Nothobranchius furzeri: one gene and its partners. The protein of the gene in region 6 binds, or shares a complex with, the protein of the main gene of each other region. Links are inferred from orthologs where the notes say so. Each region holds a gene or a part of one and is shown on either strand. Other genes may lie near its edges.

The links.
Region 1: sf3b1 (region 6) and sf3b4 share a complex: the UniProt entries of both Homo sapiens proteins name them as parts of the SF3B subcomplex of the 17S U2 SnRNP complex. The link is inferred for Nothobranchius furzeri from reciprocal best matches to the Homo sapiens genes SF3B1 and SF3B4.
Region 2: sf3b1 (region 6) and sf3b2 share a complex: the UniProt entries of both Homo sapiens proteins name them as parts of the SF3B subcomplex of the 17S U2 SnRNP complex. The link is inferred for Nothobranchius furzeri from reciprocal best matches to the Homo sapiens genes SF3B1 and SF3B2.
Region 3: sf3b1 (region 6) and sf3a2 share a complex: the UniProt entries of both Homo sapiens proteins name them as parts of the 17S U2 SnRNP complex. The link is inferred for Nothobranchius furzeri from reciprocal best matches to the Homo sapiens genes SF3B1 and SF3A2.
Region 4: the proteins of sf3b1 (region 6) and splicing factor U2AF 65 kDa subunit are in contact, whole or in part, in a crystal structure (PDB 7SN6), measured with the Homo sapiens proteins. The link is inferred for Nothobranchius furzeri from reciprocal best matches to the Homo sapiens genes SF3B1 and U2AF2. Residues at the interface, in NP_036565.2 of Homo sapiens: Ser336, Arg337, Trp338, Asp339, Thr341, Pro342, Ala343, Met346; in NP_009210.1 of Homo sapiens: Met383, Glu388, Glu394, Glu397, Ile398, Asp401, Val402, Glu405, Gln447, Gly448, Leu449, Thr450, Gly451, Arg452, Lys453, Phe454, Ala455, Val459.
Region 5: the proteins of sf3b1 (region 6) and sf3b6 are in contact, whole or in part, in a crystal structure (PDB 2F9J), measured with the Homo sapiens proteins. The link is inferred for Nothobranchius furzeri from reciprocal best matches to the Homo sapiens genes SF3B1 and SF3B6. Residues at the interface, in NP_036565.2 of Homo sapiens: Trp388, Ile392, Arg395, Asn396, Arg397, Pro398, Leu399, Ser400, Asp401, Glu402, Glu403, Leu404, Asp405, Ala406, Met407, Phe408, Pro409, Glu410, Gly411, Tyr412, Lys413, Val414, Leu415; in NP_057131.1 of Homo sapiens: Arg12, Leu13, Pro14, Pro15, Glu16, Val17, Arg19, Ile20, Ala32, Met35, Tyr36, Arg46, Gln47, Ile48, Arg49, Val50, Gly51, Asn52, Thr53, Thr56, Thr59, Ala60, Tyr61, Val63, Glu65, Asp66, Ile67, Phe68, Tyr92, Ala97.
Region 7: sf3b1 (region 6) and dek share a complex: the UniProt entries of both Homo sapiens proteins name them as parts of the B-WICH complex. The link is inferred for Nothobranchius furzeri from reciprocal best matches to the Homo sapiens genes SF3B1 and DEK.

The regions. Positions count from the first base shown.
Region 1 is NC_091759.1:1,629,860-1,634,122, forward strand, and holds sf3b4 (splicing factor 3B subunit 4), read left to right. Parts: upstream 1-1,463; 5' UTR 1,464-1,698; coding exon 1,699-1,732; intron 1,733-2,168; coding exon 2,169-2,297; intron 2,298-2,382; coding exon 2,383-2,925; intron 2,926-3,019; coding exon 3,020-3,190; intron 3,191-3,415; coding exon 3,416-3,562; intron 3,563-3,657; coding exon 3,658-3,806; 3' UTR 3,807-3,985; downstream 3,986-4,263. UniProt on the Homo sapiens protein: Component of the 17S U2 SnRNP complex of the spliceosome, a large ribonucleoprotein complex that removes introns from transcribed pre-mRNAs.
Region 2 is NC_091742.1:75,387,253-75,390,752, forward strand, and holds part of sf3b2 (splicing factor 3B subunit 2), read right to left. Parts: intron 3,384-3,500; coding exon 3,292-3,383; intron 3,199-3,291; coding exon 2,977-3,198; intron 2,897-2,976; coding exon 2,771-2,896; intron 2,696-2,770; coding exon 2,615-2,695; intron 2,542-2,614; coding exon 2,314-2,541; intron 2,244-2,313; coding exon 2,094-2,243; intron 2,028-2,093; coding exon 1,938-2,027; intron 1,787-1,937; coding exon 1,679-1,786; intron 1,592-1,678; coding exon 1,484-1,591; intron 1,065-1,483; coding exon 922-1,064; intron 767-921; coding exon 665-766; intron 1-664. UniProt on the Homo sapiens protein: Component of the 17S U2 SnRNP complex of the spliceosome, a large ribonucleoprotein complex that removes introns from transcribed pre-mRNAs.
Region 3 is NC_091751.1:56,891,767-56,895,850, reverse strand, and holds sf3a2 (splicing factor 3A subunit 2), read right to left. Parts: upstream 2,801-4,084; 5' UTR 2,712-2,800; intron 1,973-2,711; 5' UTR 1,950-1,972; coding exon 1,752-1,949; intron 1,658-1,751; coding exon 1,611-1,657; intron 1,490-1,610; coding exon 1,380-1,489; intron 1,291-1,379; coding exon 1,241-1,290; intron 930-1,240; coding exon 789-929; intron 712-788; coding exon 643-711; intron 565-642; coding exon 313-564; 3' UTR 86-312; downstream 1-85. UniProt on the Homo sapiens protein: Component of the 17S U2 SnRNP complex of the spliceosome, a large ribonucleoprotein complex that removes introns from transcribed pre-mRNAs.
Region 4 is NC_091745.1:76,211,802-76,215,042, reverse strand, and holds the end of splicing factor U2AF 65 kDa subunit, read right to left. Parts: intron 2,982-3,241; coding exon 2,878-2,981; intron 2,752-2,877; coding exon 2,600-2,751; intron 2,493-2,599; coding exon 2,376-2,492; intron 2,071-2,375; coding exon 1,914-2,070; intron 1,801-1,913; coding exon 1,721-1,800; intron 1,559-1,720; coding exon 1,436-1,558; intron 1,360-1,435; coding exon 1,273-1,359; intron 1,020-1,272; coding exon 771-1,019; intron 686-770; coding exon 551-685; 3' UTR 501-550; downstream 1-500. UniProt on the Homo sapiens protein: Plays a role in pre-mRNA splicing and 3'-end processing. By recruiting PRPF19 and the PRP19C/Prp19 complex/NTC/Nineteen complex to the RNA polymerase II C-terminal domain (CTD), and thereby pre-mRNA, may couple transcription to splicing.
Region 5 is NC_091742.1:17,814,881-17,819,046, forward strand, and holds the start of sf3b6 (splicing factor 3B subunit 6), read right to left. Parts: upstream 2,801-4,166; 5' UTR 2,682-2,800; coding exon 2,652-2,681; intron 2,194-2,651; coding exon 2,075-2,193; intron 1-2,074.
Region 6 is NC_091754.1:36,044,038-36,048,335, reverse strand, and holds the start of sf3b1 (splicing factor 3B subunit 1), read left to right. Parts: upstream 1-1,498; 5' UTR 1,499-1,714; coding exon 1,715-1,742; intron 1,743-2,672; coding exon 2,673-2,845; intron 2,846-2,985; coding exon 2,986-3,087; intron 3,088-3,195; coding exon 3,196-3,310; intron 3,311-4,298. UniProt on the Homo sapiens protein: Component of the 17S U2 SnRNP complex of the spliceosome, a large ribonucleoprotein complex that removes introns from transcribed pre-mRNAs.
Region 7 is NC_091745.1:58,973,620-58,977,584, reverse strand, and holds the start of dek (protein DEK), read left to right. Parts: upstream 1-1,165; 5' UTR 1,166-1,277; intron 1,278-1,419; exon of another isoform or gene 1,420-1,533; intron 1,534-1,588; exon of another isoform or gene 1,589-1,710; intron 1,711-2,439; 5' UTR 2,440-2,476; coding exon 2,477-2,600; intron 2,601-2,717; coding exon 2,718-2,816; intron 2,817-2,886; coding exon 2,887-2,996; intron 2,997-3,289; coding exon 3,290-3,384; intron 3,385-3,851; coding exon 3,852-3,965. UniProt on the Homo sapiens protein: Involved in chromatin organization.

The DNA of each region.
Region 1 (4,263 bases), on a different chromosome or scaffold from region 6:
AAAGGTGGTACCATCCTGACCATGCGCCGGCACATGCATACTCTGTGCATTCAACTGCCTCTCTTTTTTAAAGGCTAAATATTTTTTTGTTAAGTGTTCTATTCTAAGCTTCTGTTGATTAATTGACTATTCCATCCGACAACGTTTCAAGCGAAAAAAAACTGGTTTACTGCTAAAAAATATGAAATAAAACAACAAAATTATCAGGCTGAAGTATATAAAAGGCTCAATAATATGCATTATGGTTTCGTCCATCATGAACAGCCCCCCTCCTTCCACTCTCACTGAGACTTCTTTGCTTCGTTCAAAAGAGCCAGTCTTTTGAGCGGCCCTTTGAAGACGTAATTATTTTTATTTTTATGAGCTTTACTATCTATTTGTGGTATAACGGTTTGTGACTAAATGCATTATGGGATACTTTTCTGGTCCAAGTCCAAAGATGGATACTTTATTGTAATGGGTGAAGGACGAACACATCCAGGAACTTTGAGCGTACTTGCCATGATGCGTACTTGGTATTGGAACAGTACACGGGCTAACGCCAATGACATTTCACAATTAATATAGTACACACGTTTAAACAAGTACTCATATTGCAAAACAGCCTATAACTTGTTTTTTTTAATTAGTCTAAACCTTTCTCTTTCTGTGGTCTTTGGTGATTGCCAAGCAACACTTCCTAACCAGGAAGCAACTTGGTTCGCTCCCTGCTAGCCAAACTATCTCTAAGTATCATGACAGTGCTATACTTTCTCATATTTATGCCATAATGTCAAATTATTTCTTTATTATGTGACAAATATTATGAAGGTTAAAAGAAGGCGATTGTGTTTATGAACACCGGGTTTTAGTGAATCAGCTTGTGAAATATGTGTTGCATTATTTGGTTTGTGTTGTGAAATTCTGTTCTCGTTTTAGGGGCCAAAAAAAGAAAATGTAATAAGTGTATTTGAGCAGGTTTAATGAGTGAGCCTGGAGGTCTTTAATTTTGTTTATTTTTAAGGTTTACTTTTTAAAATAAAGTTCAGTAGATGTATTTTTCTTCACAAGCCATTAATTATTCTCAGCTCTTTCAGTTATTTTAATGACTATTATCTATGAAGGCTCCCTTACTGATGCTTATTTTAAATTCATTTTATAAACAGCTTTGGCAACAGTTTTATTTTTTGTCTTTGGTGCATGATGTTAGTTTCTATTTTTAATGTGTGTTTTATATATATATATATATATATATATAAAAAATAGTTACTTTCTAAAATTTTTGAGACCCTAAATGTGTGTATTTTCTATGAACACTTTGTATTCCATGTTTATACCTTTAGTATATTTATATGTATATGAAATAAATCAAATAATAAAAATAATTGTGGCTTTGTTTTGAATTTGTTGTTAATGGTTAAGTGCCATACAACTAAAAATATCCCAGAAAAAACTATCAAATCAATTCAAATGAAACTTAGTGATTTTGATTGCCTTTCAAGTTTTTAATTAACATTCATTTATTTGCTGTCTTTTTTTGTTTAGGAATGTCTGGGTCTTTAGTGTAATCAGAGTATAACAATTTTTTATGTAACTACAAAAACAGAAGAATTAGTTTATTTTTACTTTAATTTATTTGATCTTATTTTATTTTGTTGGGTTTTACCGGAAGAGGCGGGCCTTCCCTTCACAACGCTCTCCCAGCGTTGGTCATTCAACATGGCAGCGGGACCAATTTCAGAAAGAAACCAAGGTAATTTCATTGTTTAAATGGTTTAACGCTTACACCTTCATTATTTAGCGATATCTCTTGATTTATAACAATTGAAATTCTTATCCGCTCTTTCCCACCAATGTTAGCTGTCTAATTAGCCCGTGTTTTGGGGGTAAATGCGTACTCAAACACATGGAAGTCTCCGGTCTCGTTAGCCTAGCTTCTAGCTAAGTTAGCCGTTTTTTGTTTATTTTAATTGTATTACTTAATGCTTGTATTACTTAATGCTTGACTTCACGATAGCATACGGGAGTTTTATGTTGTTTATTTGAAATGCAGAGATTATTCCAAGTCAGGACTAGAACCACTAAACAACTAAAGTTAGCCTTAAAAACTCGCGACATTAGCATGTAGCAATGCTCACCTATCAATGTAAACACCGTTTTCCTTAATAGGTATTTTCTTGTGTTTCCAGATGCCACCGTGTATGTCGGTGGTTTGGATGAGAAGGTGTCAGAGCCGTTGCTATGGGAGCTTTTTCTGCAGGCTGGCCCTGTTGTCAACACACACATGCCCAAAGATCGGGTCACAGGTCAACATCAAGGTGAGAATCAGGCTATTCAAGATGGGATGAAAGTCCTAAAATTCACTGTAACAATGTACATAACAAATGAAACTGTTCCACTCAGGTTATGGATTTGTGGAGTTCCTCAGTGAGGAAGATGCTGACTATGCCATTAAAATCATGAACATGATTAAGCTCTACGGCAAACCGATTCGCGTGAATAAGGCCTCCGCCCACAACAAAAACCTGGATGTTGGCGCTAATATCTTCATCGGGAACTTGGACCCGGAGATCGATGAAAAACTGCTCTACGACACGTTCAGTGCTTTTGGCGTTATTCTACAAACTCCAAAGATCATGCGAGACCCAGACACCGGCAACTCCAAGGGTTACGCCTTCATCAACTTTGCCAGCTTTGATGCGTCCGACGCCGCCATCGAGGCCATGAATGGCCAGTACCTGTGCAACCGGCCCATCACTGTGTCGTACGCGTTCAAGAAAGATTCTAAAGGAGAACGCCATGGCTCAGCGGCAGAGCGACTGCTAGCTGCACAAAACCCTCTCTCGCAGGCAGACAGGCCACATCAGCTGTTTGCAGATGCTCCGCCCCCACCATCTGCACAGACGCCACTCCTAACCGCAATGGGCCCCGGGATTCCTCTTCATGGTATGACTGCTCTAATCTTAACTGCCGATAAAGAAGTACCTTTCTACATTTATTGGGTTAATTATATAATAGTTTTGTTTTTTTTTTTGCGCAGGTTTGCCGCCTCCTGGTGCCTTTCCTCACGTTCCTCCCCCTGGATCAATGCCTCCAACGATGCCCCCTTCTATGGGCATGCCTCCATCAGCAGGGACACCAGGTCCTCCATCTTCTCTTGGTGGACCTCCAGCTGTTCCTCCACCTTTCGCACCGGCCAGCATGCCTCCAGGTATAACTCGGTTGCAGAAAAGCCTGAAAATTTAAGTCTCTGCTCCCCATTTTAGCTTTAAGAAGTCCAATAACGATTAATAAAATTGTGCAGGATCAACCTCAGTCATCTCCTTCAAATGTGAAGAAATAAAAACAATAATGTTTCAATTTAAATGTCAGGTTATTAAAATGCAGCTGTTAGCCCTGAATGAGTTATTTTTATTTGTTTGATCCGGGCCCACAGGTATGCCTCAGATGCCCATGCCGCCTGCTCCTCCTGGCATGGTGCCTCCACCTGCTCCACCAGGATCGGCTCGAGCTCCACCGCCCCCCAGCATGCCCCCACCTCCTATGGGCATGCCTCCCAGAGCACCGTATGGACCCCCCATGGGTGAGCACTGTGGCATTTTCTCAAAAATACAATTTTTTTTAAATGAAAGTTGTTTTTAACCTGTTATTTCTTTTTTTTTTTTTTTTTTTCCCAAGCCCACCCTGTGCCTCCAGGTATGAGAGGACCTCCCCCCATGCCTCCTCCCGGCTATGGTGCCGTTCCTCCTCGTCCACCTCCTTTTGGTTTCCAGAGAGCACCTCCAATGCCACCAAGACCTCCCGGTGCCCCTCCTCGGGTCCCTTGAGAGCACCAAGAGCTCCGTGATCCACGTCAGACCACAGGAACATTCAGCTTGTTGTTTTTTTAAATACATGTTTCGATCTACTGGATTTTGTTATCTTGGAAGTAATTTAACCAACTGTTTTTGATTTATGCTCATTGTACAGATAAACAGAAAATTGGCAAATAAACATTTTAGTACAACTTTTGGATATTTTTGCGTTTAATTATTACTAATAAACTTGTAATGTACCAGAAATTAGTTTATGAGTAAAAGCTGCATAATAAGCAGGTGAGAGAGTAATATGTTCTAATTTATGTCCAAAAGGTATTTATAACTTGAGGCAGGGGCCCCAGTAGGTCATATACTCTCAGGTATTATGGTTTTATTTAAAAAGTAAAGTGATATTCCCTACTGTTGGGATTAAAATCCAAAAATATTTTTAAAAGAATTTTTTTAAAATGTTTTCTTTGGACATTTA
Region 2 (3,500 bases), on a different chromosome or scaffold from region 6:
CATTTTACTGGCAGCATGCACTGATCAGTGACATCACTCACTGCCAAAATGGTCCTGACGTCTTAGCAAAGTCCCGAAAAGGTTGATTTAAGAAGTAAGAAGACAACGACGGAGGAGAATAGGCCAGCGCACCTTCCCCATCACCCTCATTCGGACGCATCGTTACCGGCCCATCCCATCCCAGAGTTCATGCACGGGAGATTCTGGTCCTTGCGACGATGGCGGGCGAAGCAGGAGAGGATGGAAGCATTTTAACCTCTTGTGGTACAAAAACTAAAAACTTCAGTGGTCTTGTCAGGATTTGTTTGTTTGAATGTCTGATTTTCAAATATATTTTCATCAAAAACGATGAGAAAACCCCTCGTGAAAGAGCCGATATGGTGAGGCCGCGTATTTCTTTATGTGTTCAGAAGTTTAGATTTAGCTTCTGTTTGGCACCGTGGAAGTTGCTAGGCGACAGGATCAGAAGGTTTACATCAACAGCCGTTCTCTTCTAGTCTCAGTGGATGAGGAACGACCTGACCCGTGTGGGCAGGTCCTAACGAGGACGCTGTCCCTGAATATGGACACATCCTTTGTCTCCCTGCTGAGAACCCTGATGCATCGACCAGTAAAAACGATGAACTAAAGGGGATGGAGGCAGCAGAAAAGCTGCTACACTCACCCGTCCATGGCCTCCTCGATCTTCTTCTTCCTCAGCTCAATCAGCTCAGGCGTCTCCGTGCCGATGGGCACCGACGAGAAGCCTCCAGGTGTGATCAGCCCACTGAGGAACAAAAGGAAAGATTTGTTTCATCTCCTACCCGTCTGGGAGAGGGTGATGCTGACAGGACACAGACCCACTACACCCACACAAGAGATCAGGTAAATCTAACCCAGTCTAACCAGTCACACAACTGTGTTCTTTAACAGCATTCAGACCTGTCAGCTGGTGTGAAGAATCCAGTTTCATCTGGCTTCTCTTCATCGCTCTCCTCCTCCTCTTCCTCCTCTGATGACTCCTCATCTGAAGGCTCCAGCTCTCCCCACGGCGTGCGGTCCACCTCCTCCTCCTCTGCTTTAGCCTGGGGACACACACACATACGCACACACACGCGCGCAAACAAAAACACACTTTTACACAGCTAGAAAAAAAAAATGAAATAAAATAACAGAATCAATGATAAACATGATTTTCTTTCTTGTAAATTTGGGCTCTAAAAGCTGAAAATAATAAACAAAGTGCTTTAGAGAGCATCACATCAACCAGACTGGCTTTGATCTCACTGTTCCAGCTTGATTTTTATATTAAACTCTAAAACATGAACTCTATTCCTAATCTGTCAACAAAAACGTAATAAAAATGACCACCAGCTAGACTCCGCCAGGCTGTGATAGCATCAGAGTTTGAAGGAATCAATAAAGTCTGATGATGTCAGCAGGCCCTGGTTTTCATTTAGCACCTTTTTTTATATTTTGTGTGTAAAGCTGTTTTATTTCTGACCTGGAAGTCAGCGGAGTTGGTCCCAAACACGTCGCCGTAAAGCGGTTTGCCCATCTCGTCCACCGGCGGCTTGCCCCAGCCTCCGGCGTGATAACCAAACGTACAGTTCTGGTGATCAGGAACACACCCGGAAGCAGGAAGTTAGTAGGAAGCATGACACAAACACAACCAGAGGAGACCACGATGAACTCTTACATCTGGGATGGGCGAGTTGAGTCCAGGGATCTTGAGGTTGGGGTAGGAGGGAGGGGGGCCGTACCTCTGCATGGCTATCAGCCAGGGGGGGGGCACCTTGTGGGCGTTCTGATGGACAAGAAACAACACAAAAATGCTGAGTCATGAAACCATTTTAACACCTCGTTACGAGTAGCCTCCACTGAGCGTGCTACTATCCATGTTACCATGGTGATGCAAACAGAAGCATCACACATGTTAACAGAAGAGGACAGCTTACCGGTCCCACGGGCATCCCCAGAGCGATCCGCAGCTCATCAGAGAGATCTCCTGGTTTCTTCTCTTTCAGACGCGTTTCAAACTCTTTACCCTAAAAACAAAAACACGCCATGAGATGATTTTTAAGTGAGGAGCAGCCAGAGGAGTGGTCCCATACCTCGTAGTAGAGGTCTCCATGGATGGTGAGCTTGGGCTTGATCTGCCACTTGAAGAACGCGTCGTGGAGCTTCTGGTAGTCGATGTCGATCTTTCCCATCTTGGGACGAACCTTCTCTCTCATTTTGGTTTTCATGGTTTTGGCGTCCTCCTGCAAGCAGAACAGCTCCCATCAGTGACCACTAGAGGGCGAGGGAGGCAGAGGTCCCGCTGACACCCACCTTCTCCTGCAGAGCCTCCCTCATCTCCTGGATCCCCGTCCTCCTGATGAACTCCGGCAGCTGGAACGGGGGCTTCTCTATGCCTCGCTTGCCCTGCAGGTACTTGCGTTTGAAGCACCAGTGGCGCGGCACAGGGACCGTGTTCCTGGTGGCCTTCAGGTGCACCAGCAGCTTGGGCTCCTGAGCCGTCACGTCGTGCATCTCCACCACATCGGGTCGGGCCACCAGCTGGACGTAGGAACATTTGTGACTAAAGACTCTGATACCAACTACAACATCAACTAGAAGGAAGCTGCTCTACCTGTTTGAGCTCAGCCACTGTCAGCCTGTTCATCCTCCTCAGCTTCTTCTTGGACAGTTTAGGAACATCCTGTTTGACTTCCTGTGAGGTTTTTGGACGTTAAAGGGGCACAACATGTTTTTACCCACCAGAAAGCTCAAATGACCGAGTTCGTACCTCATCGCTGTCATCACTGTCTCTCCTCTCCAACTCAAATCCTTTCTTTCGCAGAACGCCTAAAACTTCCTGCTTTTCCGCCTTCTCCGGCTCCTTCTCCTTCTCTTTTTTCACATCATCAGTCAGCTAGGAACGAGGAAGGACAGGAAAGTGTTATCACAACAACACAGAGACACACCTGAACCTGTGCTGCTGATTAAAATCACCTTAAAAGCCTCAAAAATCCTCTTGAAGAAGATAAAGTTCGGGTCGTAGATCTCCGGCTCATCTGTGACGTACTCGATCTCCACCTCTGGCTCCTTCCCTTTCTCTTTCTCCTTCTCCTTCTCACCACCTCCCTTCTTCTGCTGCTGCTCAGCTTGTTCCTTCTTCTCCTGAGCTCGCTTCTTCTTGCTCTTCTTTTTGCGGTTCCTCCTCTTGCGGTTTTTCTGAGAGAGAAAAAAAATTGCTTGTTCAACTCAAAACGGGATCAAACTTGGTCACTACTAGGTGCTCCTGAGCTTTGTGCAGATGGGACTTACATCTTTTTTAGACATCAGACCATCTTCGTCGTTCTCAGACATCAGCGCTGAGGAATTGGTGGCATCCATGTCCCTCCCATCATCGTCGTCGTCTGTAGAGGGGAGAGTCAGTGAAGCAAAGAGCTAGAAACAGAGTAAACATCGGTGTGGCCGACGCTCGTCTGAGGGAGCTAAAGGAGGCTACAAAATCACAAACTGATGATGACCTG
Region 3 (4,084 bases), on a different chromosome or scaffold from region 6:
ATTTTGTTGATTTGTTTTATTTTAACCTGATCAGAGTAAACTTCAGATAATTCTCTGTATTTTTTGTAGAACAAACACTCAGGTATTTTCAGTATTTGTGTATTTTAATTAAAAAATGGACATAAGAAATAAAAATGTGTCCAGATATTAGTTTACAAGAGGACGATAATGTTTCCATAACATTTAGCTTTAGAATTTTATTTTTAGGCAAACAAAGTTATGAAAATCTACTGAAGATATCCAACATCCTAAAAATACAAAACAGGCAGAGCAGAACAACTGACCACCAATGCAATTTCTAACAGCAAATTATCACTGCATAAGGCCCTCTGGGGGAGGTGGCCTCATTGGCATGGGGGGCATGGGCATTTGTGGGGGCATTTGGGGGGGACCTGGTGCCCCGGGTGGCAGAGGAGGAACAGACATCCCTCCTGGTGGTGGAGGTGGAAGACCGTCGTTTGATGGGTGGCCACTCATAAGTGAAGCGGGGTGCTTTAAGTTGCCAGGAGGAGCTGGACCACCAGAAATGGCTTTCTCCATTTTAAAGTGGAACTGCAGGAAAAACTGAACGAAAACAAAACATTCATACATTAGAAAATTTTTTAAATTAGTTTTTTAGTAAAAACAAAGCAGAGTCAGTACCTGTTTAGTTTCCCTGTTCCAGTGAGTCCAGAAGCGGTTTTCTGCTTTATCAATTTCCCTGCTGGGGACCTTAAAGGAGCAAACATTTTAATGTTACGGAAATGTGACACATGAGCACAATGACAAAAATTACAGTTTTCATCCACCTTAAAGGAAATAGTTTCATATGGTTCAGCAGCAAACAGCAGGTACTGCCAGCGACGGTCAGGAGGCTCGATACGCTGCTCATAAGCAGACATGAAACGGTGCCTGGGTCCAATTCCTTCAGCAACCTCTGGATAGTCGATCTGATTAATATGGGAAATAAAAACAACTTGTCAGATGTTGTAACATCTGGTTATTATTGCCCTGATAGGAACTATAGGAGTTTGTTTTGTATCTGCAACGCATCTTCAAGTGGTGTCCACAATGGGGTCATACAATGGGAGCAAAACTGTTATATTGGGCTGGAAAATAATTAAAGTGGAGCTAAACATATGATGGCATTTAACTTTGGTTTCACACGAACAATAAAGCATAAAGCCTATTATCAAGTGTCTCAGATTCCCAGAAACACAGCAGGATTTTTCCAGAATTAAAATATATTTTTTATTTTCACCTGAAAAAGTAAAGACTGCTGACCAGTCTCTGGGTCCCTCTGTTTTGTCACTGTGAAAAAAAGAGAAAGACGAGGATCAAAAGTTGTTACAAAAAGCCAAATAATGTTGATCTAATATAGAACCATGCAGCCAGTGTACCTTTGTATCCTGGTCGACCGATTTTGACAAACTTCTTGACCTCAACTTTAACCTTTGCTGGAGCTGGTTGAGCCGGCGCTTCTTTTGCCTCTTTGGCTGCTCTTCGTGCTCTAAAACACCAAATAGAAAAGATTTAACTCAGAAAGAAAAAATTATACAGGAAAATGTTTACTGACAAATATTGAACTAGTAGCAATTAATTGTGTTAGAGAATGTTTTAGGTTGACTTACAAATTGGTCTGATGCTTCTTTCCCTGTGTGTGAGCCAAGTAGCTGCCCTAAAATCAAGTAGAGGGTTTTCTTTAGAAACACAATTCCCAAATATCAAAAATTCTAACATAGCCCAATCCAATCCGTTAAGTGCCTCCTCACCTCATTGTTGTGAAGTGTCAAACAAAGTTTGCATTCATAAGAACCTAAATGATTCTTCATAAAATAGGGGTCCTTGTTGATGTCGATGGTCTCTAGAGCCAGCTGACGTAACCGTTCACGCCTGTCCCGGTTACTCTCAGAGGCAGACGCCACCCCTCCACTTCCAGTCTTCCCTCCAGCTCGATGCTGGAAATCCATTTTTTTGAAGTGATGAACTCAGTCTAAAGACAACATAAACATATAGCATCAAAGGGACAGACCAAACATAATGTATCGTGTATTTCTTCAAATAAACACAAAACAAAAAACAGAAAAAGCCAGTTCAGTTAAAACTGAACCCCTGGTGTTTTATTTTTACCATCCCTATAAAACTGAGAAACATATGCTATTTCAAATGTAGAAAACATTCACAACTATAAGTACTGTACAAAGCAGTATGCACGTAGTAACACTATCATAAATATAAATTCAACAACTTTCATATAATTGCTGATAAAATGGTAACGCTATGTGTTACAGCAGCCAGAATGAATATCTGAGCGGCACAGTTCCTTAAATGTAGTATTAATAGTGAACATTAGTCAGGACTGTATATGTATGTATGCGTGTATGTGTTAAATCTATAACTCAAATCATAAAGACTTTCTTCCCGACACCCCTTTCATCAATTTATCAATTTGTCATGATTCTAGGTTGAAACGTCTTAATTTTTAATAACATAACTAGAAAATCCCTATATTGAACTATCCTTTCGCGCACATTTTACTGTTAGCATTTAGCATCGATGGACGTCGTTCTGACAATGCTAACAGTGCTACCATATATGCAAGGATAGTTTTAAACCTACCAAAATGAACAAACTATCAGAATGAAATTAAATATAGCCTAATCAATGTTTTAGCGTTACTGCTCAGCGAACTGCACAACAAAATACTAGCTAAATATTATAAATAAACTTACGTTCTCCCAAACAAATCTAACGACAAACTGTGATGGACAGAATTGTTTTGCGCATGCGTGTTGGTTCTCAGCTTAAGCAGTTCATAAATAGTTTCAAACATTCATTGCCATCTAGTGGTCAGGAGTAAAACTGACCGACGAACAAACGTTTGCGGATAAAAGCATATAATAAAGACCTAAGAGATTAGTTTATTTAGGAGTAAAGGGCTACATTTAAAATGTGAAAAATAAATTAAAAAAACGATATGAAACATTTGCATTTTTGTTTATTTATTTAATATGTTCTCTTTAATTTTGGATCAATTGTTTGTATTATTTCTTTTGCTATGGTTTTGTTTCCCAACTTTTATTGATTTTGTTGCTTTCACTTTTAGGGTCTGGATTTAAACTAATTGTAGATTTAGACAAGGTGTTGGACCGCATCTCTCGGGGGACCCTGTGGGGGTACTTTGGGAGTATGGGGTACCAGGCCCTCTGATAGGGGCTGTAAGGTCCCTATATGACTGGTGTCAGTGCTTGGTCCGCATTGCCAGCAGTAGGCCGGGTTCGTTTCCGGTGAGAGGTTGACTCTGCCAAGGCTGCCCTTTGTCACCAATTCTATTCATAACTTTTATGGAGAATTTCGAGGCACAGCCAAAGTGTTGAAGGCATTCATTTTGGTGGCCTAAGGATGGGGTCTCTGCTTTTTGCAGATGACATGGTCCTGATGGCTTCATCAGAACGTGATCTCCGTCTCTCACTGGAGCAGTTCACAAACGAATGTGAAGCAGCTGGGATGAGCATCAGCTCCTCTAAATCCGAGACTATGGTCCTGAGTCAGAAAAGGGTAGAATGCCTTCTCTGGGTCCAGGGATGAGATCCTGCCCCAAGTGGAGGAGTTTATACATCTCAGGGTCTTGTTCACGAGTGAGGGAAAGATGGCGAGTGAGATTTACAGGTGGGATGAGATCGTGTCTGCAGTAATGCGGACGTTGTACCGATCTGTCGTAGTGAAGAGAGAGCTGAGCCAGAAGGCGAAGCTCTCGATTTACCGGCCGATCTATGTTCCTACCCTCACCTTTAGTCATGAGCTTTGGGTAGTGACCAAAAGAACGAGATTGCAGATACAAGAAGCCAAAATTAGTTTTCTCTGCAGGGTTTCTGGGCTCTCACTTAGAGATAGGGTGAGAAGTTCAGTCATCCGGAGGGGCTCGGTGTAGAGGAGCCAGTTGAGGTGGCTCAGGCATCTGATTAGGATGCCTCCTAGATGCCTCCATGGTGAGGTTTTCTGAGCATGTCCAACCTGGAGGAGACCTAAAGAAGACCCAGGACATGTTGGAGGGACTATGTCACACGAATGGCAAGGGAACGCCTTGGGATTCCCCTGGAGGAGC
Region 4 (3,241 bases), on a different chromosome or scaffold from region 6:
ACAACGCCCATCACACCATCTCCTTTTAGTTTCCAACTCTTCTCAATCAGAATTTTCCAGTAGCTCCGTGCTGCAGATCCTCTCTAAATGTACTTAAAACAGGTCGACTCCATTTAAATACAAACCTTTGAAGCGTGGCTCCCTGTTCCCACCCAAAAAAACAACATCCATGTCTCACAAAGTATAAAAAAAAAATTCTCGACCCACCCCGGCCCCGTTATTACACACATTTCTCAAATTTCATACACATCCCAACCCACCCAGCTACACGACTACCGCCCCAAACCGAGCCCGGTGTTACATTTAAAATAAACACACGCCATTCCTCTCCTCCTCCCTGCCACACTGGTGCTAAATGCTCAACACGTCACGTAGATCTCCTTTAATTAACCGGACATCACCAAAGCCGTTCGCCAAACGATTAACAGTCCGAGATCTACCTGAAATGCTGCTCAGCCAAAATCACTCCGAGGGCTATTTGGAAACAGGCAGTACATGCTACACTCCCTCCCTCCCCCCTCCCTCCCCTTTCCCTCTCATCGTCCCCCCTCTACCAGAAGTCCCGGCGGTGATAAGCATCTGGATCGCAGTATTTCGTTACCACCACCCTGTTGGCAAACTTCCTTCCAGTCAGCCCCTGCATGGCCTTCTGGGCATCAAAAACTGAAGTGAACTCCACAAAAATCTGTGAAGCGAGGGAAAACAAGAGGCACGGTTATGATTTGCTGATCCATCAAAGCGCTTTACATCAGAATCTGAAGGTTGCCTACCTTGCCCGTCCCAGGTATGTCCAGGCCGTCCACCGGACGAGGGATCTCGATGCTTTTCACTTGGCCGTACTTGCTGCACTCCTCCCTGACGTCTTCCACAATCTCCTCATATTCTTCATCGTCCAGGAGCTCCTCGGGGGCCACCATGTTCATCAGGCACAGCACCTCAGTGGGCAGGCCACCCATCTGAGTGACGGAGCTGTTCAAACCCGGCACCTGCAGCGTCACCGGGGTCTGGTTTATAGTTGTCTGGAGAAAAAACAACAACAAAGACTTTCACGTTCAGGCTTCTGCATACCGCCATAGATCCACCCTAAACACAAGCGCACAGCTTCATATTCAGTACACGACTTGGCTGAAAAGACGTATATTTGTCCTGGTTAGAACTGAACAGACGAGGAGCTGCAGCAGATCTATTCAGCAATCTGTCTCGGTCCGTTTTAGAACCGACATCCAGCCTCCCACCGTTCTGCTGTCATTCACCCAGCAGCTGGAGCCTCACCAGAGTGGCGTTCTTGGATCCCACGCTAGCCCTCTGCACCAGGAGCTTCTTGTCTCCGAGCTGCATGCCGTTCAGTCCAGCGATAGCCTGTGCAGACAGCCAAAGCTCAGTGACCCGTTTCCAGAAAGGTTCCACCACAGACGTACCTGCTGGGACCCGTTACCTGATCGTTCAGGTTGACATCAACATATTCACAGAAGGCATATCCTTTAGATAGGCCTGTGGCACTGTCTTTTACCAGGTTAAAGGCCTTCAGAGGGCCAAACGACGTCAACAACTCCTTCACCTGAAACACGAGAGTTCACGCGAGTTTAGATGGAAACTAAAGCAAACAAGATTAATGTCAACTTTTTATTTCATTCGGTTCATTTCAACACCAAAATGTCACCAATAAGAAAACACACATGAATGCTAAGCACCAGGATGGCACTTAGACTGCAACACCGACCTGGTCATCGTTCAGATAATTGGGCAATCCACCAATAAAGAGCTTGTGAGCCGAGTCTGGGACCACTGTGGACACCACTCCTGCAAAATGTGCAAGGACAAGAACGAGTCTGAGGAACCCGAGAAGAGGCTCACGTGGATATTGAGTGATCAAATGTTTATGTATACTTGTAGCAAAATGTAAGGATAAAAACCATTAATTGTCTGTGTACCAGGCACATAGACACTGGGGTTCTCGCTCATGCCGGGCAGTGGCTGGTAGTCGTGCGGACGACGGATTTTAAGGCTTTGGCCTTGAAAGATGATGCCATCAAAGGCCATTGCCTGTGTCGTTTCATCCACTGAACGAAACTGAACAGAAACATTTAAAAACACACAAACAAGATCCAACGAGAGTTCAGGAATACTTCAGAGCAGGAGTAGGGAACCCTGGTCCTGGAGAGCCGCCAGCCAACACGTTTTAGGTTTCCCTGCTCCGACACAGAGGATTCACCAGTTTAGCAGCTCATCAGCCTCTACAGAAGCCTGTTAATAGCCTGCTGTTTAAAATCAGATGTGTTGAAGCAGGGAAACCTCTAAAACGTGTTGGATCGGGACCAGGGTTCCCTAACCCTGCTCCTGAGGATCATTAATGACCATCACGGGATGTTTCTCACCTCAAGGAAGGCAAAGTTCTTGTCCTGGTTGATCTGTACAGCGAGGACAGGATTTCCAGGGGCCTGAGTAAGACCACCTAAACGCATCTGAGCGTTAAAGAAGTCCATCATGGACTCCTACACACACACGCACACACACACACGCACACGCACACACACACACAAAGAGTAAAGGTCATTAAAACGATATTATCCAAACCGAAATATGCTTTTCTGTTTCTCACCTCTGTGATACCAAAGGGGATGTTGCCAACATAAAGACGGCGGGCCTGCCGGGTCATCTGGCTGCCCACCACAGGTACGGGGGTGGGGGTTACAGCCAGGCCGTCTGGGGTCATGGTCGGCAGGAGGGCGGTGGCTGGAATTTGTCCTGCCGCTGAAAAACACGAAACACAAAGTTATAATCTTCCATTTTACCACACTACCATCATATCTACATCACATAGAGGTTTCAGTACCGCGATGGATAACATCCCAACTATAAATGTATCAAACTTGTTACCCTGCATGGCTTTGTACTGCATGGGAGTGATGTGTTCAAATCCAGGCGGAGGGACATCCCAGTACTTCTTTATCTTCTTCTTCTTCTCACGCTGAGGAGAACGGCTGTTTGACAAAAAGAAAAAAGTGAAATAAATTTAACTCACGTTTTGATTAAATACAGGGTGATTTGCTGAAATATATTAAGAAATAATGATTTTAAGACCAAATTCACTCATTTAAGCAACACATTTGCTGTTGTCTCTGGTATAAACGAGTTAATCTCTGAGGAAAAAAGCTCTGAAGCTCCAGTTTCAGAAACTCAAAGTGAGCCAGAGCAGAGTTGAGTTTCAGACGGAGGATTTGGACTCTTAGTTCCTGATATT
Region 5 (4,166 bases), on a different chromosome or scaffold from region 6:
CTTTCTAAACTATTTGAATAATAAGGAATGAGACTATTACTAAACATATTTGTAGTAATAACATGTTTCTGATCAATATTCTTCCTGAATGGTTTCAGCAGCTCAACTGAGGAAATGACATGGAAACAGGAAGTTGTGTCTTTTTAAAAGACGAGTTTCTCTAGCCGTTTAGACAGATAACGTTTCTATTCCGTTCCAACTTACAAATAAATAATAAAAATACCTAAAATGGAAAACTTGGATGTTTTCTACTTTTTCCTTAATTTAATGGATTGCTGAAATATTGGATTGGGACTCTGTATCTAAATCACATGACACGGATTGAGGGAAAAAGATCATTTTTGACTTTTTTTTTTTTTTGGTACCACCTCACAGAATAACAGAAGGACGTGCTGGGTCCCAGACCCAAAGCAGGGCTCTCACACACGCGACTAGCATAAAAGTTTCAAAGTTAAAGTAGGTCTACTCCACACCGAAGCCAGAGGACACCGCCTGGATATTAGGAGGAGTCTGCTGCTCACACACCGGTGTTACAGAAAGGAGCCGACCCTCTTGAAGCAGCAGCAGCCATGTTTATTAAAGGTGAACTGATCGCTCTCTAGTTTTTGTTGTTAACAAAAATAACAAATTTTGTTTTTCCATCAAACTATCTTAGCTGATCCATCCATCCATTTCTGGCCGCTTATCCAGGGTCGGGTCACGGGGCAGCAGCCTAAGCAGGGAGGCACAGACTTCCCTCCACAGCTCCTGCAGGGGAATCCCAAGGTGTTCCCTGGTCAGCTGAGAGACGTAGTCCCTCCAGCGCATCCTGGGTCTTCCTTTAGGTTAGAGATGGGCGATATGGCTCAAAATCAATATCACGATATATTGAGGATTTCACCTCGATAACGATAAATGGACGATAACTACAGGTATGCGCAGTAGAGCTGTAGCGATGCATCGATGACGTCGACGGCTCGATTCTAAAAATTCGTCGACGTCAGATCCGGTGGTCGACGCACCACGCCCACTTGTTGCATCCCCAGGAGTTTGTAAATAGAGGTGGAACCTGCCTGTTTTTCCTCTAGTCCACCCTCTTCTCCGCCTTCACTAACATCTCCACCAAATACCGAAGACCCAGAACAATGTCCGTCCGCTACTAGATTCCTTTCCTGTTTTGCCCGCCTTCGTCTCCTGGCAACGGGCAACAACTTCCGGGGTCAGATGCGCAGCTCCGTCTCTACTGTGTAAAAAACTTCTAAACCGAGTTTCTGTTATGCTTCTCTAAACATTGGTTCATGGGAGTCTCTAACCTGCAATTTGCTCTTTAAGGGATTTGTCATGTAATTTGTGTCAACAAACCAATCAACTCCAGGCAGAAACAACGTCCATGAAGGTGGCTCCTTTTCTGTGTTCATCTCTTTTCAGGCTAAAGACCAAAGGTGACAGATCATCTGCTGCTGTGGCCCCTAGACTCTGGAGCTCTCTCCCTCTGAGCCTGAGATCAGTGGACTCGGTGGTCTCCTATGAAAAGCAGCTAAAAACTCACCAGTTCAAGCTGGCTTTGGTGTGACCTTCGTCACCACCCTCTCCCTATTCGGCTCTTTCTACGTATTCCGCCTTTCCCAGCAATCCACTCATTTCCCTCTTTCCTATTCATTTTCTCTCTCCCATTCCTTACATTATTATTTTTAATCACAATTTACTTATCTTCATTTTAAACATATTTTTAATCGTTTTTTGACATCTTTCTAGTTGTTTTGTTTGTGAAGCGCCTTGTGATTTTTATTTTGAGAGGCGCTACGTAAAAGATCGTTTTCTTTCTGTCTTTGCTGCTTTCTCTACGACTCTTAACTGTTACTTCAACGTGAGCTCTCTAAATACACTTAAACCTGTTTTACTTACATTTGTTTTATTTATGTTTACCGTGAAGCGATGTGTGGCTTTTATCCTGTGAAGGCTGCTTTAAATGCAGAGTTGGCTTTGTTACATAAAATTTTCTTTTACTCTGAAAATGACTTCATAATAACACACACACACACACACACACACACACACACACACACACACACACACACACTTTTTGAAAACTTACGTTCGGATCTGTCGTATTGGTCCGTATTTTCCAAAGATATCGTACATCTCCTCAGCTGTGATCTTATAGGGGAGATTCCTTATATACAGGATTCTGTTCACCTCAGGAGGTAATCGGATCTACAACACCATTAAAACACATCATTAAACTATTCAGAGGGAACAAAACTAACCTGGGTAAAAACTCAAATACCTGATACATAAGTACACACGATTACTAGCTGAGGCCTTTTAAGACTACGTAAGTCACTTAACAATAGACATGGCTACTTTTAATCATTACATGCATTAGCTTATCCTTGTTTCCGTACCGGAAGGAACAAATATTCTTAGCCTGACGATATCCCAACGAGGATTATGTCTTCACAAAACAAAAGATGAAAAAACACATGACCTCAAATGGTAAGTATAACTAAAGTGAATATAAAGCTTGAAGATTTCAGGTTTTGAGGACTGTTTTCAATTTGCTAACCTGCTAGTAGTGCGCTAATTCTTTGAGACGCTTCCTCAGAGCTAAACCTAGCTTACATTTCACATTAGCCTTTCCTTTGTCCCCTTATATGCTCCATTACACTTACATTAGCACGTTTTGCTGCTTGCATAGCCATCGTAACGATTTAATTCGTGTAAATAACGCAGATAAACAACAAACACGCTGTTTTCACTTCAAAATGGAGGCTACGGTAAAAATATATCGAACTTCCGGTTTGGAATTAGGCTACAGATACATCCTTATAACGGTGCTGCCCTCTAGCGGCGGACAAGAACCTCAACCAGCCTGGAACAATTATCCTAACTATAGAAAAATGACATTCTTACAGAAATGCTATTTGAATACTGGCTGCTGAGGCTGATAACTGAAGATGCATAAGAACTGAACAGAACCTATACTTAAGCTCAACTCAGTAAAAAAATCCCAGAGTTTCTTTCAATATAATGAATACGAATAAAATAACATTTAAAACTGTATAGCAAACAAGTGTTAGTGCACTTTTTTTAAAACATGAAAAAATATTTAGGCTAAAATGTTCTTCTCGCTCTTCATACCAGTTGGTTCCAGAATTGAAGGGAGCACTATTTCCATTCCATTTTATTTTTAAAGCACATTTTTACAGGGCCGAGGCCAACCAAAGTGCTGCACAGTAAATGAGCATAAAAATCAACACACTGGAAGAAGTAATAAAAGTAGTACAGTAACTACTATAAAATCAATAAAGACAAAACAAAAACATCGTAAAATGCTAGCTAGGCTGAAGTAAAAGCTAAGGAATAAAAATGAGCCGTCACTGCTAGAGACGAGGCGCACAGACTGAGAAGGCTCGTTCTCCTTGCGTCCTCACCCGAACTCTTGGGACCTGTAACAGGTCTGCTGACCAAAGAATTCGACCAGGTACGTAGGGCTGAACCAGCTGAGTCAAGTAGAGAGGAGCATAAAGATAGAGTTACTTAAAAACAAGAAGTAAAAATTTAAATTGGATGCGGTAGCACACCTGGAGACTATTCCCTATTCGAGTAATTTGAGCATCAATCAGGTTTTTTCAGCACCTTTAATTTTAATATTTATAAAAAACAAAACACTGATACTGCAACTAATTTTCCTCTGAAACCTCAGCAGACTTTTTAAAAGCCTTTTTTATGCACAAACGAAACAACTGAATTAGAAAAAGGGAAAAGAAAAAGGTTATTGCCATGGTAACGGATGTTGCAGCACTGGCTTATGCTGGGCTTCACTCAAACAGGCACTAAGGTGAAGCTTGGGAGATGAACATCACATCTGGTCTTCACCGAGGCCGTGACCAGGTGTAAATCACATGAACAATGCATCTTTAACACTGCTCTGACTCAACTCTGTCCCCTAAAGACTCTAACCCCCCCAGCAAGACCACGTGAAACACCTAAAAAAGGACACCTTGGTAAATGTGCACACTACATTCAGTAGGAAAACAGTCCTTTCTACCATCAGAAACCGCCTGCATAGCAGCAACATCAGGACCAAGTCCTTTCTAATGTCACGTTTTGAGGATGTTTAGGACACAAATATGCAGAAACCCAGGATGACACGAGGCTGGAGATGATGTAAAGTAAATATGCTT
Region 6 (4,298 bases):
CACCTATGGTCACAAGCTTTGGGTAGTGACCGAAAGAGTTTCTGGGCTCTCTCTTAGAGATAGGGTGAAAAGCTTGGTCATCCGGGAGGGGCTCAGAGTAGACCCGCTGCTCCTCCACGTTGAGAGGAGCCAGTTGAGGTGGCTCGGGCATCTGGTTAGGATGCCTCCTGGACGCCTCCCTGGTGAGGTTTTCTGGGCACGTCCAACCAGGAGGAGACTTAAAGGAAGACCCAGGACACGCTGGAGGGACTATGTCTCACCTGGCCAGGGAATGCCTTGGGATTCCCCCGGAAGAGCTGGTCCAAGTGGGTGGGAAGAGGGAAGTCTGGGCTTCTCGTCTTAGGTTGTTGCCCCCGCGACTCGACTCTAGATAAGCGGAAGAGAATGGTTGGATGTTTGCTAGTCCTTTGTCCTTACCACATTACACTTAACACACATAAACTAATAAATATTAAACATTTGAGAGAATAGTTTTCCAACTTTGATAGACCAAATTACGTTCATAACAACAGATTTAGAAGTATCAGGATTTTCATTCCTTTTATGCTGCATTCTGTTTTCTCTTTGCAACCCTCCACTTATTACTCATCCCTGCTGAAATTATTTTATAGACGTTACATTTTACACGTAAGGAAACTGTTTCAGATCCAGATGGAAGATTTACAATTACATTAAGAAATATAAAATTAAGTATTGCTAATGTTTGGTCCAAACACTGAGGACAGGTTTTTACAACACTTTCAGCTCACTCTCACACATGGTAGGAGGGGATTTCAACCAGGTCCCTAATCCTGACTTAGACAAATCTAACAGATGCTCAAACTTTCATATTTGTCAGTCAGCTGATAATGTATAAAGGATTTTGGGTTTTGTGAAGCTTGGCGTTGTAATCACCCGGCACTTCAGGAACACCTTCTCAGCAGATCACACAACATGCTGCAGCTTCTTCTTGTTCCTGATGGTAGCTCCAGTGTACCACACAGTGATTGAAGTGAGGATGGACTCAATGACTACGGTGTGGAACTGCCTCATCAACTGTGCTGGCAGGTTGAATTTGTTCGGCTGCCTCGGTAAGTTCATCCTGCTGGGCCTTTTTATGATAGAGGTGATGGTGGGCTCCCACTTGAGGTCTTGGGTGATGGTGGTGCCCAGGAAGTGACATGAGTTCCCCATCGTGATCGGAATGTAATTTATTTTTTCTAATTTTCATCATATTTTTAATGACTTTTTGAAGATTTTTTGTATTTTGAATGTTTTGTTCTTTTGAAGTGCCTCATAATGTTTATCTTGAGAGGCTCTATACAAAAGATAACTTTCTTTCTTTCTTTTTCTTTCTTTCTTTCTTTCTTTCTTTCTTTCTTTCTTTCTTTCTTTCTTGCTTTCCTGCTTTCTTTCTTTCTTTCTTGCTTTCCTGCTTTCTTGCTTTCTTAACGTCTATTCTATTCTTTTCTATTCTAGAATGTTCTATTTTATTCTGTTCTATTCTATTGTTCTATTTTATTATTATTATTGTTTCGGGTTTTTTGTAGCTGTTGGTAAGGGGGATTCTTTTGGGATTTGTTGGTGGTTAGTTTCCCGGTCCAGGCCCAGTAAGTGTCGGTAATGCACCTTAAAGTTGCTTACCAACCACCGTAAAACTCAGAAGAAGAAGAGGAAGAAGAAGAACAGTGAATAAACACACTTCCGGTGTTAGTCTTCAACAACCACCATCAAAATGGCGAAGATCGCCAAAACCCACGAAGGTAGATTATTGGAGAAATCTCATATCAGTTCTATATTTTATTGTTTTGTTTGTGTTGTTGTGTCGAGACATGTTTTTACTATGTAACTATAATGTGGACAGCGCGTATTCCTGTATGAATGTATGGTTTTAAAGGGGAGAAGTAGCAGGCCTGCTGCGGCGACACAACGCGGGCCGTTTACATAATGGCGCTGCTGCTAGCGCTGCTGCTAGCTTGTTAGCTTAGACTGTCTTCCTTTTGACGATGTATACACTTCAGCAAATGATATTAGACGTACTAATGAGTTTTAGTTAATCGCAATTAAGTGTTGTACTGTGCTCTATTGTCTTAATCATGTGTTTTTGTTCGGATAATAATACGTGATTTTGGCCGTCGTATGACGCAACTAGCACTTTTAACACCATCCCCATGCTACAAAGCCCAACCACCGGTAAGGAATCGCGTAGATTGTGTGGGTAAACATCGCGGCTGTAATAAAGAAAAACCTGTTTGCAGATGAGGTTAAAAGCTGCTTCTGAGATAAGTGTACTATCGGGGGTTGTAACTTTAAATTAACGTTACGAAAAGTGCTACGTTATTTATTCGAATCCCATCTGGAACCTTTAGGCCATTTTTTAAATGTATTTTGTTTGGCCTTTATTATGACCATGTTAATGTTTCGTTATCAAGAATGCCGCCTTCCAACAATATCAAGAATCAAAACGTTTTACTGAACATTGGTACAAGCGTATCAGATGACGCATGCGTAGATATCACCTTTCTAAACTTTTTCTAAACTGAGAAAAGTTTAGCATGGGGCGGATAGAGATTAGCCAATTATTCTACCATTCATTATCTCCTGTTTGATGCCTGATGTGCCTGCCCAGATTTAGGTTCATTAGAATTCCTGGGAGGAATGTATCTTATCCTGTTTGTTCTTGTTCGTTTCAGATATCGAGGCCCAGATCCTCGAGATCCAGGGGATGAAGGCCTCCCTGGTGGACAATGGAGATCAGGGGGTGGGATTGGACTCCACTGGCTTTTATGACCAGGAGATCTACGGAGGCAGTGACAGCCGTTTTGCTGGTTATGTCACCTCTATCGCCGCCAATGAGCAAGAGGATGTAAGTTTTTATTAGACTTGAGTCAAGCTTTTTTGTGGAGTTTGAGTACTCCTATGTGTTTGTGTTTTGTGTATGAGCTAGGAGAGTCTTGCTGGATTAGCAGGACTTGACTAGACTCGTGTTTCTCCTTTCTTCCACAGGACGATGATGAGGATACATCAACAAGCTTGTTGGGACAAAAGAAACAAGGTTACCACGCTCCAGTAGCGATACTCAACGCCATTCCTCAGTCAGATGAGCAAGTATGTGTTCATTTAAATTGTCACAGATATAAACTTTTTAACATTGTCTAGAAAATGTTTTTACATACAGACATTAACCTAAAATCTGCTTGGTTTTTGGATTTATAGTACGACCCGTTTGCTGAGCATCGTCCACAGAAGATTGCAGAGCGGGAGGATGATTACAAAGGCCGACGCAGACAGAGGATCATCTCACCTGAGCGTCTTGACCCTTTTGCAGATGGTAAAAATTGTCTTATTTTTTGTCCTAGTTCCACTTTCCCCCATTGTTACTGTTGTTAAGATGCCACCCCATGAGTGTTTCTAGCTTTATTTTTGAACCCTTCGACCACAGTGCAATAGATTGCCTCCCAGACTTGATACCTTCCCTGTGGTAAATCCTCTGTGGCCAAAAAAAACATTTTTCCTCATTGTTTTACAATTTTTCTACAAACGTCAGTGTGGGCTCATTGGGAAGTCTGGATTTGTGCTGAAAACCATTGTAGGGTTAACCATCCTGTTGAGTGGGAGAGGTTGTTGGGTGTGTCCTAACATGCGTGGGTTGCAGATGGGTTGTGTGTAGGTCGAAGGGTTGGCAGATCCTTGACGGCAAACATAAAAATATGACTTAGTTATGGTTCAACTGGCCTGCTGATGCACTGTGCTTTTTCATACTAGGCACAGCAGCTGTAGATCCTCAGGCAGACTGAGAAGGATAAATAATCAGAGGCATGAAGATGTGATCAGCATTTTAGAGTCACAGAAACTTGGTGGATTTGGGCTTCATAAAAGCCCTCAGGAACCCTGTTGTAAATGATCACACTTTAGTGTCTGGCGCTGCGTTTGTCACCTGCTAGCTCGTTAGATTTGAAATAATCTGCAGCCTCCGGGCTGAGTAGGCTAGCTGAATAATTTTTACTTTAAACAACATTTAAACATCTGTAGCTTGTTGTAATTTTCTGCTGCTGGAAGTAACCCACCAGTGGCAATGCCCAGAAGGCGTATGCTTTAGTGGTACTTGCCTCTTTACTTCCCTTGATGATAACAGCTGAGATAGGCTGACAGCTCCAGGGTTTATCTGAAACCTGCATGTAGAGAGAGCTCTTTGTACATAGTTGTTGTGTAAATATATTTTTATTTTACAGCTCTCTCTGTAAAATAGAAATATGTTATCAAAGAAAAGTTGTGTGCCAAAATACCACAGGCCCATACTAACTGTCCTTAATTTCTCT
Region 7 (3,965 bases), on a different chromosome or scaffold from region 6:
ATTTTCTGGGATAGTTTTCACTCGTGGTTAACGCATAATAATTTCATTATACGCTCCTTATCTTCGACAGGCGGATTGGTTCGGCATCTGCAGTGATGCGGACGCTGAGCCGATCTGTCGTGGGGAAGAGGGAGCTGAGCCAGAAAGCCAGGCTCTCGATTTACCGGTCGATCTACGTCCCAATCCTCACCTATGGTCATGAGCTTTGGGTAATGACCGAAAGAACGAGATCGCGGATACAAGCGGCCGAAATGAGTTTCCTCCGTAGGGTGGCCGGGCTCAGCCTTAGAGATAGGGTGAGGAGCTCGGACATTCGGGAGGGACTCGGAGTAGAACCGCTGCTCCTCCGGATCGAAAGGAGCCAGTTGAGGTGGTTTGGGCATCTGGTCAGGATGCCTCCTGGACGCCTCCCCGGGGAGGTGTTTCGGGCATGTCCTGCCGGCAGAAGGCCCCCGGGTCGACCCAGGACACGTTGGAGAGGTTACATCTCCAATCTGGTCCGGGAACGCCTTGGGGTCCTGCCGGAGGAGCTGGTGGACAAGGCCGGGGAGAGGACGGCCTGGAGCTCCCTAATTGGGATGCTGCCCCCGCGACCCGGACCCGGATAAGCGGAGGAAGACGACGACGGCTCCTTATCTTTTTCTGACATCAAGTATGTTATTAGTTTGGAAAATAAAATGCAGCAATTCACTGTCAATAATTTGATTATTTTCGCCAAATTCTTTATACACAAATGTAAATTTGGCAATATCAAACCGATCTTTATTGTTTTTTTGAAAGAACTTGCATCCTTCATGGATTCTCTTAAATTATGTAGTTCCAAGAAAGCCATTTGGCTCTATAACAATTTGGTGAATGTTTCCTTTACCCCTAATAATGTTGTTTGATGTAATATATGTATATATTTATTTGGTTATGACTTCTGCAGGTTGATATTGAGCTAGGTTAATATTATTGTTTCTGTTTGTACACCTGCTTTTTTTTGTCATGCTCAGAATTCATCTGTAAATATTGATTCTTATGTAAGCCTGTAAGCTTCATTGGTTAAATAAAACTTGTTAAAAAAAAAAAAACAAAGAGCTCCATTGTGGGGGCTTGGTTTTAGCATAAAGCGATTCCAGTAACGGTAGGGGCCGGTAGTGAGACAACAACGTGACGTCTGCAGCACTCATCCAATCAGCACCGTGGGCGCCGTTGTAGTCCCAGCCCACATAGCATATCGCTCTCATGAGTGACAGGCGGGTTGCGGTTCTGTTTGCTCGGTTCTTCGGGAACAGGTAAAGTTATTGCGTTTTCTTCCCGCCGTAGACGGCTTGCTTGGGGGCATGAAAGCGGAACTTGCTGTGCCTCATCGTGTCGCTGTTTGGTCTGTTGAATCTTGTCGGAGCTAGCTGTGGTGTTAGCTGCAGCGGCTAACCCCGCGCATATTTTCCGCTGCTTAAACTTAACGTTTACATTGCCCGGTAAACCGATGGCTTGACTGAATGACTTCCGCTAACTAACCAATTGGCGCAGCCTTGACGCGGAAGTGAGGTAGTATTTTGAGTTTATTGGTCAGTTTTTCGGCGCGGCTAACTAATCGGCTAAGTTGTTTGAAAGCTATAGTTTCCGCGCGCTTGTCCGCGTGCACATGAAATAAATAAAAAAGATTAAAGTAGTCAGCTGCATGTTACCGTTTCCGCTAATATCAACATCAACTCATGAGGTTAAGTAAGTGTGTGTGTGCGCGCGCGTGTGTATAAGAGGCACCGGACTCCATCCGTCCTTCTTGTTTTTAGAATACAAAGCGTGGTTTTGGTGATCCATTGGTTAACTGTGATCCGTTATCAGACTAGTGACTTATCAGAAGCTTGAACACACTTCGGCACCGGAGCTACCGGACAGAACACTCACTCTGGATCCACAGACCGGATCATGTCTTCATGACTGTTTGTAATCAAATTCATGCTCCTGGGCAACATGAGCTGAAACCTTTACTGAATTAAACCAATTACCATACCAAATTTATTTATAAAAGCACAATAAACAGCGTGAGAGCTGACCACAGCGATGTACACCACAAAACCACACAAAGACCAATAAAACTAAATTAAACAAATACATGTAAAACACATGAACTACACACCACAAAAGTTTGACTTCAGTCTGCTAGTGAAGTAAAGGTCTGACTGCATGTGGTCTAAAGAACAGGAGAAGCTTTTCATGTTGTCTTTTCTTAGTGGGGCGGGCAGGTTTAGTTTATGTGGTGACGTATTTGGGCTCAGACCTTTACTAAAACCAGGGTTTCTTAGACTTTTAACTCAGCTTTGTGGAACAGACCTGTGGATGCGACAGGTGTGTCAGAGTAACTCTGCAAGTGGAGGAGCAGTTGAAAGCTGAGCTTTGCTCTTATTTAGTTAGCTGTAAGCATAGCATCATAAACCTGGTGTGTTCTTTCAGGATCAATTAAACGGGGACTCAAAGCAGCTGTGCAGACATGAGCGACGCGGCGGAGGAAGCGATGGACAGCTCCGTGGGATCTGAGGAGGACGTTGAGGATCAGCAGGAGACAGTGCTGGAGGATGAGACGAGTCCAAACAAAAATAGCTCCAAGAAGTCTGGTGAGGAGAGTTGTCTGATTGCACTGTCACTCGTGTTGGGTTGTTCCTTTCTGGGTTCTGTAAAGGTTTATTTGTCTGGAACAGCTTCAGCATGCTGACATGTTCTTTCCGTTACAGCTGTGGGTGAAATCATCGAAGGGAAGCGAGTGAAGAAGACTGTGGAGAGACTGGATCTCCAGGCGCCAAAAACCAAAGAGAAGTTGAAGATCGGAGATGGTGTGCAACAAAAGAGGTTTAGATGTGTATGAATACAAACCAACAGCTGGTTAACATCTGGTGTTTGCAGGCAGTGGAGATAAACTAGGAGACATCCCTCGAACCAATCATCAGATCACCAGGATGAAGCTGGTGGATCTGAAACAGCTGCACATGCTCCTGTTTGACAGACCGGGAAAGGTACAAACAGCTGAACCGAACCCAGAAAACTGACCTGAGCACAGCTCCAAAATCACCTGTTCATCTCCAACCAGAAAAGTCCCCATTCTGATTGATCAAGTACCCAATGACCACTTTTCAGTAGTTATTTACAGGCAGGTGTCAGCTGCAGGTGGGAGTTATTCATGTGTTCATGTTCAGTAATCCCACAGAAAAATATGTGAAGTAACAAAGGGGAAAAGCACCAGCTTCAGTCTTGAGTTCTTCATAGAAACACCCCAGAGTCAAACGTGAAACTGCTTTTTGTCTCTCAGATGGCCACACTCAAGAAGAACCTGCGGCTGTTCAACGGCTTCCCTTTTGACGTCGACAGCGAGCAATACAACAAGAAACGAGAAAAGCTTCTCAAGTAAGTTCCTGTTAGCTGCCTGACCCGACTGAAGGATAGGACCTACTGGTGATGGCCAGGTGAAGCTGCATGAAGCTTCCATCCCAGTGGTCCAGAAAGAGGCTGGAGATCACGCGTGTGTTTGGTGTGAAGCTGAGCAGATACATGAATGTTTGTAAAGCCAGATGTTTGTTTGGAGTTTTAATTATAAAAAAAGAGCAAGCAGTCTGGCACACACACACACACACACACACACGGAATAAGCAGCACTTTGCTGCTCTTTTTACATTCAGTCTCGCTCAGACCGATGATGCGGGTCCTGGGTTGGGACCATGGCCTGGCCTGCGAGGCTTTAGACACCACCACACATCAGCACAGGCCTGGACACAGGACTCGTCCCTAGCTCCCAGATGTGCAGATATAATTTATGGTTTGTGTTTGAGGGTTCAGTCAAGATCCTTCCATAAACATCCCGCGTATCGTTTCAGAAACTCCAGCTTCACCAACACCAAGCTGAAGGTTGTCTGCACTGTTCTGGATCTGGAAAAGAAAGGAACCCACTCTGATCTGATTGACCGGATTCTGACCTTCCTCATTTCCCC